2 linked regions of the Schizosaccharomyces pombe genome follow. The protein of the gene in region 1 interacts with the protein of each later gene in a biochemical or structural test. Each region holds a gene or a part of one and is shown in the gene's direction. Other genes may lie near its edges.

The links.
Region 2: the proteins of edc3 (region 1) and pdc1 form a complex in vitro, tested with the Schizosaccharomyces pombe proteins (one study listed by BioGRID).

What each region holds. Positions count from the first base shown.
Region 1 is NC_003423.3:2,091,796-2,097,981, reverse strand, and holds edc3 (mRNA-decapping enhancer Edc3), read left to right. Parts: upstream 1-2,032; 5' UTR 2,033-2,133; coding exon 2,134-2,487; exon of another isoform or gene 2,488-2,578; coding exon 2,579-3,589; 3' UTR 3,590-3,704; coding exon of another isoform or gene 3,705-4,856; 3' UTR 4,857-4,924; coding exon of another isoform or gene 4,925-5,131; 3' UTR 5,132-5,431; downstream 5,432-6,186. Other genes in the region: putative MPP complex alpha subunit Mas2, read left to right, coding at 1-1,454; SPOM_SPBC18E5.10 (Fe-sulfur cluster assembly protein), read right to left, coding at 3,705-4,856, 4,925-5,131. UniProt on the Schizosaccharomyces pombe protein: Stimulates decapping of both stable and unstable mRNA during mRNA decay. Stimulates decapping presumably by preventing the DCP1-DCP2 decapping complex from adopting an inactive conformation.
Region 2 is NC_003424.3:4,827,247-4,833,276, forward strand, and holds pdc1 (protein pdc1), read left to right. Parts: upstream 1-1,653; 5' UTR 1,654-1,810; coding exon 1,811-4,040; exon of another isoform or gene 4,041-4,081; coding exon 4,082-4,722; exon of another isoform or gene 4,723-4,764; coding exon 4,765-5,124; 3' UTR 5,125-5,227; downstream 5,228-6,030. Other genes in the region: C-24(28) sterol reductase Erg4, read right to left, coding at 1-798; aspartyl metalloaminopeptidase Ape4, read left to right, coding at 5,665-5,914, 6,011-6,030.

The sequences.
Region 1 (6,186 bases):
TCGGGTTTTCGCACAAAACGGTATTAAAACGGAGGCTATTTAGAAAAGAATGTACACCGGCATTAAAATCATTTTACAGCACTCAAGACCCTGCATTAAACGAGGTCCGAACTGAAAAGCTTAAAAATGGTGTAACATATGTTTGTGATCCAAGACCAGGGCACTTTTCTGGTTTAGGGGTTTATGTGAAAGCTGGTTCAAGATACGAAACAAAAAAATTCTCTGGTGTGAGCCATTTTATGGATAGGCTTGCGTTTCAGGCTACTGAGCGTACTCCCGTTGGAGAAATGAAAGCAAAACTAGAAAATTTAGGAGGTAACTATATGTGTTCTACGAGTCGCGAATCCATGATATACCAAGCAGCTGTTTTTAATGATGATGTTAAGTCAATGTCCAAGCTATTAGCAGAAACCGTTTTGGCACCAAAAATACAAGAAGATGATCTAGTTCATTATCGTGATAGTATAATATATGAAAACTCCGAGTTGTGGACGAAACCAGATGCTCTACTCGGAGAGTTTGCTCACGTTACGGCATTCCAAAACAACACGCTTGGCAATTGTCTATTGTGTACACCTGATAAAGTCAACGGTATTACTGCTACTTCAATTAGGGAATACTTAAAATATTTTTACCGACCGGAACACCTTACTTTGGCGTATGCTGGAATTCCTCAAGAAATAGCAAAAGAAATTACGAAGGAGCTATACGGACATTTACCCAGCTCTTCTCTACCTCCACTGGAAGCTATACCTTCGCATTATACTGGAGGCTTTATGGGAATTAAAAAATCGGAAGCACCTCCTGTTCCATACCAACAGGAGTTTACACATGTTGTCATTGCTATGGAAGGATTACCTGTTACCGATCCGGATATCTATGCTTTGGCATGCTTACAATTTCTATTAGGTGGAGGTGGTTCATTTAGCGCAGGAGGTCCTGGAAAAGGAATGTATTCTCGATTGTACTTGAATGTTTTAAATCAGTATCCTTGGGTCGAAACATGTATGGCTTTCAATCATAGCTATACAGATAGCGGTCTTTTCGGTATGTTTGTTACCATTTTAGATGATGCAGCTCATTTAGCTGCACCACTAATAATACGTGAACTCTGTAATACAGTTTTGTCTGTCACCTCTGAGGAAACAGAGCGGGCTAAGAATCAGCTAAAAAGCTCTCTATTAATGAATCTTGAGAGCAGGATGATCTCACTAGAGGACTTGGGGAGACAGATCCAAACTCAGAATGGTCTTTATATTACTCCCAAGGAAATGATTGAGAAAATTGATGCATTGACTCCATCCGATTTAAGTAGGGTCGCAAGAAGAGTTCTGACGGGAAACGTTTCCAATCCTGGAAATGGTACTGGAAAGCCAACGGTACTCATTCACGGAAATGTGGATGAAGTTGGAGATGTCTTTGCTCTTTGTAAAAAAGCTGGGATTGGTCATTAATCGTTTTATCAACTATTCTTTTTGGGGGCTTTAATGAATTTTTTAACTTATGTTCTCTTTCGGTTTACTTTCGTCCTTAACCATTTAATCAATAAATCCTTTTTTCTGGGTTGACTGTTTTATTGTGATGATTTAAAAAGACAGTAATGTATTTGCAAAAGTTGAGTTAGAGAAAGCAAAGAATTAACAAACGTTTTGCTTTCTCAACCGATTTGTCGTTTGTTTATGAAAAAAGATACAGATGACATTGCGGGCGAAGTAGCGAAGTGAAACGGAAAGTGAATCTGTTATCCCTTTTCCTTTCACTTACTAGATTCATGCATTAAACTTTTTACATATATCCTTGAACCTGTAGATTGCCAGGAGTAATTGGCATTCTCAAATGTTTATTATACACATTGATATAACGTGTATCATTATTTTACCGTTATATGTTTACGGTGTTAAATATCAGCTTGTCTTCAATAAATTAAAAAAGCGTGTTTATGACTAACATATTCCCAAAACGCACTAACGATTACGCTTGATATCGCTAAGTGCAATATTGATGTAGTGCAGTTACGTTTACTATTTCGCTCGAACCGTACATCGACTTGAAGGAAAGTGAGATTAAATTTGCATATCATCCACGATTAAAACCGTCTTTTCGACGTACGCTGAAAACACTTTATATTTCAATATGTCTGTAGCTGATTTTTATGGCTCTAATGTTGAAGTTTTATTAAATAATGACAGTAAAGCGCGAGGAGTAATCACAAATTTCGATTCTTCTAATTCAATTTTGCAATTAAGGCTAGCAAATGATTCAACAAAATCCATTGTCACAAAAGACATTAAGGACTTACGTATTTTGCCAAAAAATGAAATTATGCCCAAAAATGGTACAAAATCTCCGAGTACAAATTCTACCAAGTTGAAATCAGCGGAAACTTATTCTTCAAAGAACAAGTGGTCAATGGATTGTGATGAGGAATTTGATTTTGCTGCAAATTTAGAAAAGTTTGACAAAAAACAAGTTTTCGCTGAATTTCGTGTAAGCGACAAAGGGGTTAAATAGTTAGATAGTTTATCTTTTTCTATTTACCTTACTAATTCTTTTTTGCATTTACTAATTGAGTTATCAGGAGAAAGATAAGAAAGACCCTGCAAAGCTTCTTGTTTCTCATAACAAAAGTCCTAATCGCAATTATCATCACAAGCAGAATGTTTTAGGACCGTCTGTTAAAGACGAATTTGTAGATCTTCCTTCAGCTGGTTCACAAATTAATGGTATCGATGCTGTTTTAAGTTCTTCAAGCAATGGACATGTCACACCTGGTTCTAAGAAAGGCAGCCGTGAAACATTAAAGAAAAAGCCATTCGTCGATGAAAATATACCAGCAGAATTACACACTACTACTGGTGATATATTGAAGCCTATTACTCCTGAGCAACTTAGCCAAGGCATAGCTTTGGCAATCGCAAAAACGAGTACCGACATTGTTGTTGAAAATGCTGCTCAACTTCTTTCTCAATTTGTTTTTTCAGTCTTAGGAGGACATAAACGATTGTCTTCGAGGAATCATAACTCCCAGCCTTTAGTTTGTATTCTGGTTGGTTCTCATGATCATGCTTCTGCAGCTGTAGCAGCAGGCAGGCGGTTGTGTGCCATCGGTATAAAAGTTGTATTGCGCCTATTAACCCCGTTTAATGTGGATAATAGACAACTCTTAATGTTTCAAGCTGCTGGCGGATATATCCCTACTGAAAATTTTGATCAATTTCTTAACAAACTGACTTCTCCTATAGAACTTGTAGTCGATGTTTTAACCGGTTTCCATCCATCAATAGACAAAAACAGCCACGCTCTTATTCAATGGGCTAATGATTTAAACGTTTTGATACTTTCGGTAGACATCCCTTCAGGATACACGGTACAAAAAAAAAACACGGCTATTTTGCCCAAATGGACTTTGGCTTTAGGGGCTGTTACTACTACCCTTGCACAAGCTGCTCTTGTTAAACAAGCTGCTGGTGTCTCTGTATTTGTTGGAAACTTAGGTACTGGCTCTCAGACTTGGGCTGAGTTAGGAATTCTTGAATCTCAAGTAACCGGCCAGTATCTTGCCCAAATCTCATGTACCAGCACTAACTGATAAGATACATAATTATGGCGATGTTGGGTGTATGGTTATATAGGACGCACATGTATTTAATGGTTTTAAGATGAGGCTCTTAGTTCTATTCATGGTTTCAGTCATTTAAAATAATTTATGTAACTTTAGTTCGAAATGTTATCTGATCAGGAAAATTTCTCTGAATACTATGGATCTGATGGCGCATTGAATCCCCAAATCCGCAAAATACTTTGGATGAGCTTGGCATGTTAAATTTTGAAAACATATCCTTTAGTTGTGATAAATGAGCATGTCCATCTTTCAAACCTTTCAATGTCTCTATAACATCTTCGACACCATCACGACATACAGGACACGTATGGCATGTATTTGTCGAGTAAAATTTTGCAAAATTCAGAAGAGACTCAAATATTTGATCGTGATCGTTTAAGACAATTACAGATCCTGTACCTAACGAGGAGTCTAAGGCCTTTAAGGAATCAAAGTCCATTGTAACTTGTTCGCATTGATTTTTGTTTAGGATACCGGAACATGGCCCACCAGGAAAGATACCAACTAGTTTATTCCATCCTCCGCGTACACCTCCTGCATAATTTTCAATTAAATCTTTAAGTGGAATGGACATGCAAGCTTCGATCACGTTTGGTTCATTAACTTCGCCGGATATTGAAAATAGTTTCGTACCTCTGTTGTTTGGTCTGCCCATGGAGATAAAAAATTTGGGTCCTTTTTTTATAATTGCGGGTAAATTAGAAACAGTTTCAACGTTTAACACAAGGGTCGGTAGTCCAAATAACCCACTTGTTATTGTGTTATTGATAGGGATATCAGGAACTGGGAATTCCCCTTGTAAAGATTGAATCAATGCTGATTCTTCTCCGGTAATATATGAACCAGCACCAGGATGAATAAGTAATTCTAAGCCAATACTTGTGCCAAGTAAATTTTTACCTAACAGCTTTTTTGCATAAGCTTGGATAATACACTTTTGCATCATTACGGTCTCTTCATAGTAATCTTTTCTTATAAATAAATAACAAGCAGATGCTTCGACGGCCCTTGCTGCAATTATTGCGCCTTCAATAATTTTATGAGGTTCGTGTCGTAAAAGTAGTCTATCTTTAAAGGATCCAATATCATTTTCGGCAGCATTCACAATGACCACTGGTTTTTCCTTTCGCCCTCGCTCAGAAGAAGTTGCTTTGTATAAGGAAAGCATCTTCTCGCCAGTTGGAAATCCATAGCGGCCTCTGCCTCTCAATTCGGATTCCTGCACAAGCTCAATCTTCGTCATATTAGTAAACAAATAGATTTTTATAATGATTAGCTGATTAAACCTATATTTGAGCTTACAATATTTAGTGGATCATACTTAAGAATTTCGGATAGATTTTCATATTCTCCATCGGCTAAGGCATCATCTATTCTACGAATCCGTTTTTCTATCAAATTAGGAAACATTCGGTATCCAGCTTTTGATCCCACTAATCTTTTTAAAGCAACATTTCTTAATCCATTAAATGAATGTTTTAACTTGCAGCAATGCCCTCGTGACAACATAATAGTTTTTATACATTAATCTACTTTTACTCCACTTGAGCAAGTTATAGCGTGTGCCTTAGAATGAAGGTTGGCTCGTTATATGAAACTATGGAGTTCGGTATTTATCATAAAGGTGAATTCAGTAGTGATTTAAATTCTCTCTCAATACTTGGTTCAATGTCATCTTGACTTTTAATTTATATTGATTGTTATAACCAAATTGGAAATGACTGGAAAATGCCAAAAACTCGTGATATGTGACCAAATGAAAAGCATGTGTAAATTATATAGCTTCTAAATGAGCAAATAATATTTTATCGTATACATTAAAACACACTCACGTCAAATTTAAGAATACAATAAGGCAACGTACAGTACATATTATTAAGTTAATACCAAGTAAACAATAAAATAAAATAAAATACAATAAAACAGAATTATCTCATCGAATAATTATATGTAATTATACAAGGATGAAGCATTTTAAACCTTTAAATGTTTTAACACAGCCAGTACGGCAGACGAAATTAATATAAAAAAATGCAAACCAATATAACGAAAGACCAGGAAACGTATTTCAAAAATATGATTCCTTGAAATATAAATGACAATGAAGAATAAACGCGGGAGTTTAAAACTGATGAATAAATGGAGTGAACGCATAATCCGTATCCATTCCTGCCACAAAGCCAATTGCGGAAGCAACTTCTTCCTTCAACCCAATTGTCTCATTATTAGAAAACGGCATGCCATAATCTTGTAAATAGCGAATACACTGATCTCTTGACAAAGCGTCAACGTTACCTATATTGAGCATCCGAGGCAATTCTTCATTCGTGACGGGGTCAGTTCCGTTTAAAATGGAACAACCATAATAGGAAATTCAATGATCTCGCTTGTATGTTTTGGGTACGTACATTGGACATATCAATACGGTCCACTTTCAGCGTTAAATAGTCCATGCGTGTTCGCAGTTCATCATAAAGCCACTAAGCGTCACTTTGATACTCTCACATACTATGACATTCTTGATTTAAAGTAATTTTAACACTGATATAATTTACAATCTTCAT
Region 2 (6,030 bases), on another chromosome or scaffold:
AGTTGGAACAATCAACTGCTCTCCCTTCGAGCACGCGTTTGCATACAAATAATGGCCAAGACAAACGAAAAGTACCTGAGGACTTACAGTGCCATAAGTTTCATATTGACGAACAGCAGCACCAACGGAAATAAAGAATAGGATAAACCAAGGGATACGAACTTCAAAGAACATTTTAAAATCAAGCAATTTGCCAAGGCGAGGATTCAAGCAAGCTCCCATAAAGGCATCGTAGATGGGATTTCCAGATAACCGATGAGGTTTATCAAAAAGTCGATCACCAAAAAGCAAAGTTCCAGTGTACAAAACAAAGGTACAGACAAAAGCGGTTATTATTGCAACGCTCATCAAAGGACCGAACATGTCGATAAATGTAGTAATTGGAAATACGTGGGTCACGTGAAGAACGGCAAGAATAACAATTGTCGTGTAAAAAGACCAGATAGCATTGCATAAGTAAGGAAGACGTTCGTTATTGCGATGCTTTAAAGGCAAACCTTGCGTCCGAACACCAGGAAGAGTTAAGTACATGACAGCCTGAACTATACAAAACGACCAAAAAACCAAGAATGCATACCGTGTTGGATAGGCACCGACGTAGATATAATGGCCTAACGTTCTAAAAAAATTTTGAAATCCTGCTATCGTAAAAGATTCTGGTTTAATAAACTGCGAATCATTAAATTTGGAGCATGCCCATAAGTAATACATTAGACAAGGGAATCCTGTCATAATTGCCAATGCACCTTTGGCACCGCCAAACTCACGAGGAGCTGATTTCTTTACTGTAGATTTCATCGCGAATTCTATCTACTTCACACAACGTGTCTATAAAAAGAGTGTGTTCTTAAAACAAATGAAAGTTGGTATTTTGGCTTCTAAAAAGATTAATTTTGAAAAAGAGTATTGATATAGCGATTACACATGCAAACGGCGGGATGCAGGTAAATCGACTGCTTACTCCTTGTCAGGCAAATATACGACCACTCTCCAAGTAACAATGTTATTTTTATATTGAGGTGTAAAGTTCATGAGATTATGTTTTCTTGATATAAAATAGTTCAAAACTAACGTTAAAGACAAGAAAAAAGAATACAAGTTGTTGGCCATTCTCAATAAAACGACTTGTCTACGTTCTAGGTTTAGCGGGAACGCAAGGCTCAGAAACCTGTTTTCTTAAAATTCACATAATGTTGAAAACGATTGACATATGTTATCTACGAAAAACAAGAACACTACTATTTTAAATTTATGAATGAATGTAAAAAGTGCTCTCTAACATTTCATGTAAACCATCGTAAGTTTGTATGTGGTTTTGGTGATATAATCGTTGTTAGTAAATACAACTAAAAAGAATAGAAAAATGGGGAAATAAGTTAAAGGGGAGAGTTATGCATGTGTGGTTTTAAAATAATAAATACTACAAGGCTAGTAAATCTCAATTTCCTAAATATTGCTTTCATTTGACATAAGCTTACTTAAATTAAGTAATGAATTTTATGAACTTATTTCTTCTGTAGCTACTATGAACTGCATGCAGATATAATAAGTAAAAGCCAAGTTGGTGTTGAATGTAAAAAGTTGGGTAACATTGTCACTGGAATGATGCGTTTTGCAATTCACATAATTGTAGCAGGAGGGTCGACTTCCCCTACCACAGAATTGCCCTTTTATTCTAAGCTAGAAGATCGGCCGTTGAAAAGACACATAACTTGCCAACTGAGTGTTAGTTTATGTTGCTGCTTTTGTAGTTTTTTTAATACTTTTTTTTAAGTCGTAAAATCGCAAATAGCGCTCTGAATTAACTATAATGAATGAGCAAGATCTATTGAATTCTCTTAGAAGAGATTTAAATTTGCCTAATCTTGGAAAATCGCATGATGGATCTGAAGCTGTAGAATCTACATTCCCAGAGAAAAAAGAATCTTCCTTGTCTGCTCAGCAACCTCATGTCGATGATCAACGCTCCAGTCTCTTAAGCTTATTGAATGCGGGACTGAATGCATCAAACCAGTCACCATCAAATTCAGGACCAAAATATTATGCATCCCACTCATCTAGTACTGACGCACTTCTTCAGGCTTTTCGTGATGGTGCGAAACCTTCTGGGACTGCCTCTGGCGCAGATGTTAAACGAAGTGATTCTGAGTCTACTGAGGCGACATCTAATGAAAGGCCTTTTAATCCCGTATCGGCAGCTAATCTAGAAAGGTTACTGATGTCTTCTACTGGGCCACAAACTCCTATTAATGGTGAATTAAAATCTAATGACTCTCAAGACACGGCTTTCCAGTCTTCAAGGAATATGCCATCTGATACCTCGGTAGCTTCTCCTGATTACTCGCATTCTCAATCAAGCTCGCCTATTGCCAATTACCAAGAGTCGGGTAACTCGGAAGAACCGCACAAAGCAGAAGAACAGCAACAGCTGAGTATTTATCAACTTGACAATCCTGGTTCCGGTAATTATGTTTGGGAGACTGTGATTTCTCCCGACAAATTTGAAACGTCGACATTCGCCAAATGCGAACGAAATGACATTGCTATTATAAATCGTGAGCTCGACGCTCAAGATAATCAACTAATTCACACCAATGAAGATTTTATTGCTTATGCTGTTCATCGCGAGCCGATTATTCGAGTCATCGAAATTTCAACTGGAAAGTCTTTTCTTCTCCATAACAACTCACCTAATAAGTTTGTATCTGTAGCCTGGGGAAATGATTCGGTTATTAAGAATAGACTTATGGCTATTGATACTACAGGACAAGTGTTGATCTTTGCTGTTGATATTGCTACTTCTACTTCTGAAATCATTTTTCAACTATCCGGTGCTCAGTCACTGTCAGATCCTATTAAGTCGAGGTTCCATTGGTACCCAAAGTCTTCAACTCGTTTTGCTGTTGCTTTAAGTAAGCACATTATCTTTTTCGATTTGGACTTATTAAACAATATTTCTTTTCCCATACCTAGATCAATTAATGCTATCCAACAGCTACCTTGCTTTCTCATTGATACCGGTATTAGTGCAAAGGAATACGACTTTTCTTATGATGGGACAGTATTTGCTACCGTGGACAAGGACGCTTTAATAAAAATATATACAGTTCCTACTACTTTCCCTTCAACACCTGACAAACGACCTGTTCCTTCTGAGGTTTCTCCTATTGCTATTTTTACGACTCGTATGGAGCGTGGTCCCTCTAAAAATTATGAAAAGCCTATTAACTTACGTTTTATTTCTACTCCTGGTACTAACAATAGTAGATATTTGGTTATTGTATACGTAATGAATCAGTTGATAACACTTTTTGATCTTTATTCAAAAAGGAATATACAGACTTTCCGATTTAATAATCGTCCGACGGCTGCAACGACTACCTCATTTTCTCAATTTTCGGTGGACAATGAGCGCAGTACCTTACTGGTAGGAAATCCTCCATCAAATAGTATTTATTTTTTTCTCTTCGCAAAAGACGAGACGGTCTCCGAACAAGCACCAATCTATAATTCAACCTATGAATTAATATTGGCATCATTAAACACATCTGAACCCGTTCCTGCGGATGCAAAGTTTTCAGTAATTGTAGCTAAAAAATTTGAGAAAGCAGCATGTATTAGCTTTACAGCATGCAAAATTTTGGAATCTGAAGATAAGTATTGCATTGTTGTAAGCAATACAGATGGTTATGAATATTATTCTATCCCGACTTCAATATTAGATAAGACTGGCAAAACAGTTAGATCGCTCGAGAGCGTCCAGAATTATGATGCAGACATTGGTGGCACAATCGATTTAACTGAGAGACATAGCACTGCTTCTCCTTCAACTGTTAATTCTGGATTCAGTACTCCCCGTTCACAAGCTACAGGATTTTCTAAGAAAAAGAAGGACAAAGGCGAGAGATTTGAAACTAAGGACAAATCATCATCTGTTTTATCACCTTCTTCATATAGTGCTTCAACTTTTGATGCGATACCTATGGATAGTATTGTCTCTAATATCCTTGCTTCCTTAGAAAAAAGTGTCCACAAAAATTGTAAGTTTTTTTTAAGTTAACTTCACTAATTTTTTAAACAGATGAAAGCCTAAGATCTCAACTTTTGGAATATAAGGCTGCAAACGAAAAACATACGGAAGCTATTTTATCAGTCGTCTCCTCAACCTTAACTGAAAACACTGGTAAAATTCTAGAGTCGGTGGTTGAAAAATCGATGCAAGTGGCATTAAAGGAAGAAATTGCGAATTCCGTTAGAAATGCTCTCAAAAATAACTTGGAAAAAATTGAATCTTTTCTTGAGAATAGCATTGCAGAGCTGCAAAATTCTGTTCGAGAGGATTTTGATAAGCAGACTTCATCTCTAGCTCAACTGAGGTATAGTATTCAGAATGTTGCACATGCCCAGAAGGAATCTGAGGTAAAGTATAACGAATTGAATGAACAAGTTAAAACGCTTGAAGGCTATGTTGAAACAGTGCTTGAAAAGTTCAATGATTTGAAGATTGAGAATAAAGTACCAGAGACAGCACCTGATGTAGTACCTTCATCATATCCACCTGCTGCGGAAAGTAACGTTTCCGTGTCTAGCGATACGTCTACAAAGGACGTGGAAAAGCAGGAGCCTTCATCTGCTGAACAGCCTGCTCAGGGAATTGCTGAAAGTCTGAGAAGGCTAAAAGAATATGTTAAAGCTGGTTCTGTGAAAGAATGTGTTGCTGAGGTAAGTTATAAAATGTGATTTTTATTTTCTAATTTATTCTAGTGGTGTAACATGCCCTCTGTTGCGGGCTTTGACGTTTTGTCTGAAATTTCTTACGATAGAATGTTAGAAAATTGTAGCAATTTATTGCTTCTTACTTTTATTTATCATATTTCTCTCCTTGATTCTGTTGATGACGATCGCTTATCGAAGCGTATGGAATACATTTCTAGAATTTGTTTGAACATTGATGTTAATGACCCAAAGGTGGAAACGGTAGTTCACCCTGTTCTTACTTTAACTCGCGAAGCTTTGTTAAGGCAGTCTGAATTTTTCTCGCCTATTTTTAAACGCCGTTTAGTTGTTCTTTTGCGTGCTCTTGATGGCAAAATATCTGAAATATCCGTTGCATCCAGTAATTAGAATTATACTTTCTTATTTGGGATTTCTTAACAATTATCGTTGAATGTTTTTAGGATACTTCATCAATATGAGCCGAAATATAAATCTAATTTATTACTGCTGTAAATATTTTTATTTTAAAGAAAAATCATTGATGTCATGATTTGTTATGCCTTGTTGTTTATGTTAGGTTGCCCTCTTTTTCTTCGTTTTTTATTTTCGAGCATCTTTTTTAAGTGGTTTTGATGTCGCTCATTTCTTTTTACGATTTACTTTTCTTTTAGGGTTATTTATTTGCTAGATTAGTTAAGTTCATGGAATAGCAGGTTGTTAATTTTTGTATAACTTTCAGTTTTCATATCGTTCAAAAACCTACATACAAGCAGATCTCCCAGTCATTTTATAAACCATTTAGAAATCGTACTCGCTTTTAATAACCCAAGTGAACTCCTTATTGGGTTTATCGTTCCGGTTTCGACATGTAGTACCTACGGTATTGTCACTTGATTTGTACTCACCACTATGGTGTATTATTCCAATAACAACCGAAAGAATTCACAAATGCAATTACATGGAAAAATGACTGCCACTGCAAAAAGTTGTGCTTTAGATTTTTTGGATTTTGTTAATGCAAGCCCTACTCCGTACCATGCTGTACAAAATTTGGCAGAACATTACATGTCTCACGGATTTCAATACCTCAGTGAAAAGAGTGATTGGCAATCTAAAATTGAACCTGGAAATTCATACTTCGTTACTCGCAATAAATCTAGTATAATTGCTTTCAGTATTGGTAAAAAATGGAAACCAGGTAAGTCAAGTTCTCAATGAGTTGCCTCTATATGCTTCGCCTTAAACTTCAGTAGAGTTTGATTGTATTATTATTATTGTTTAACATTTATGATAGGAAATGGTTTCTCTATTATT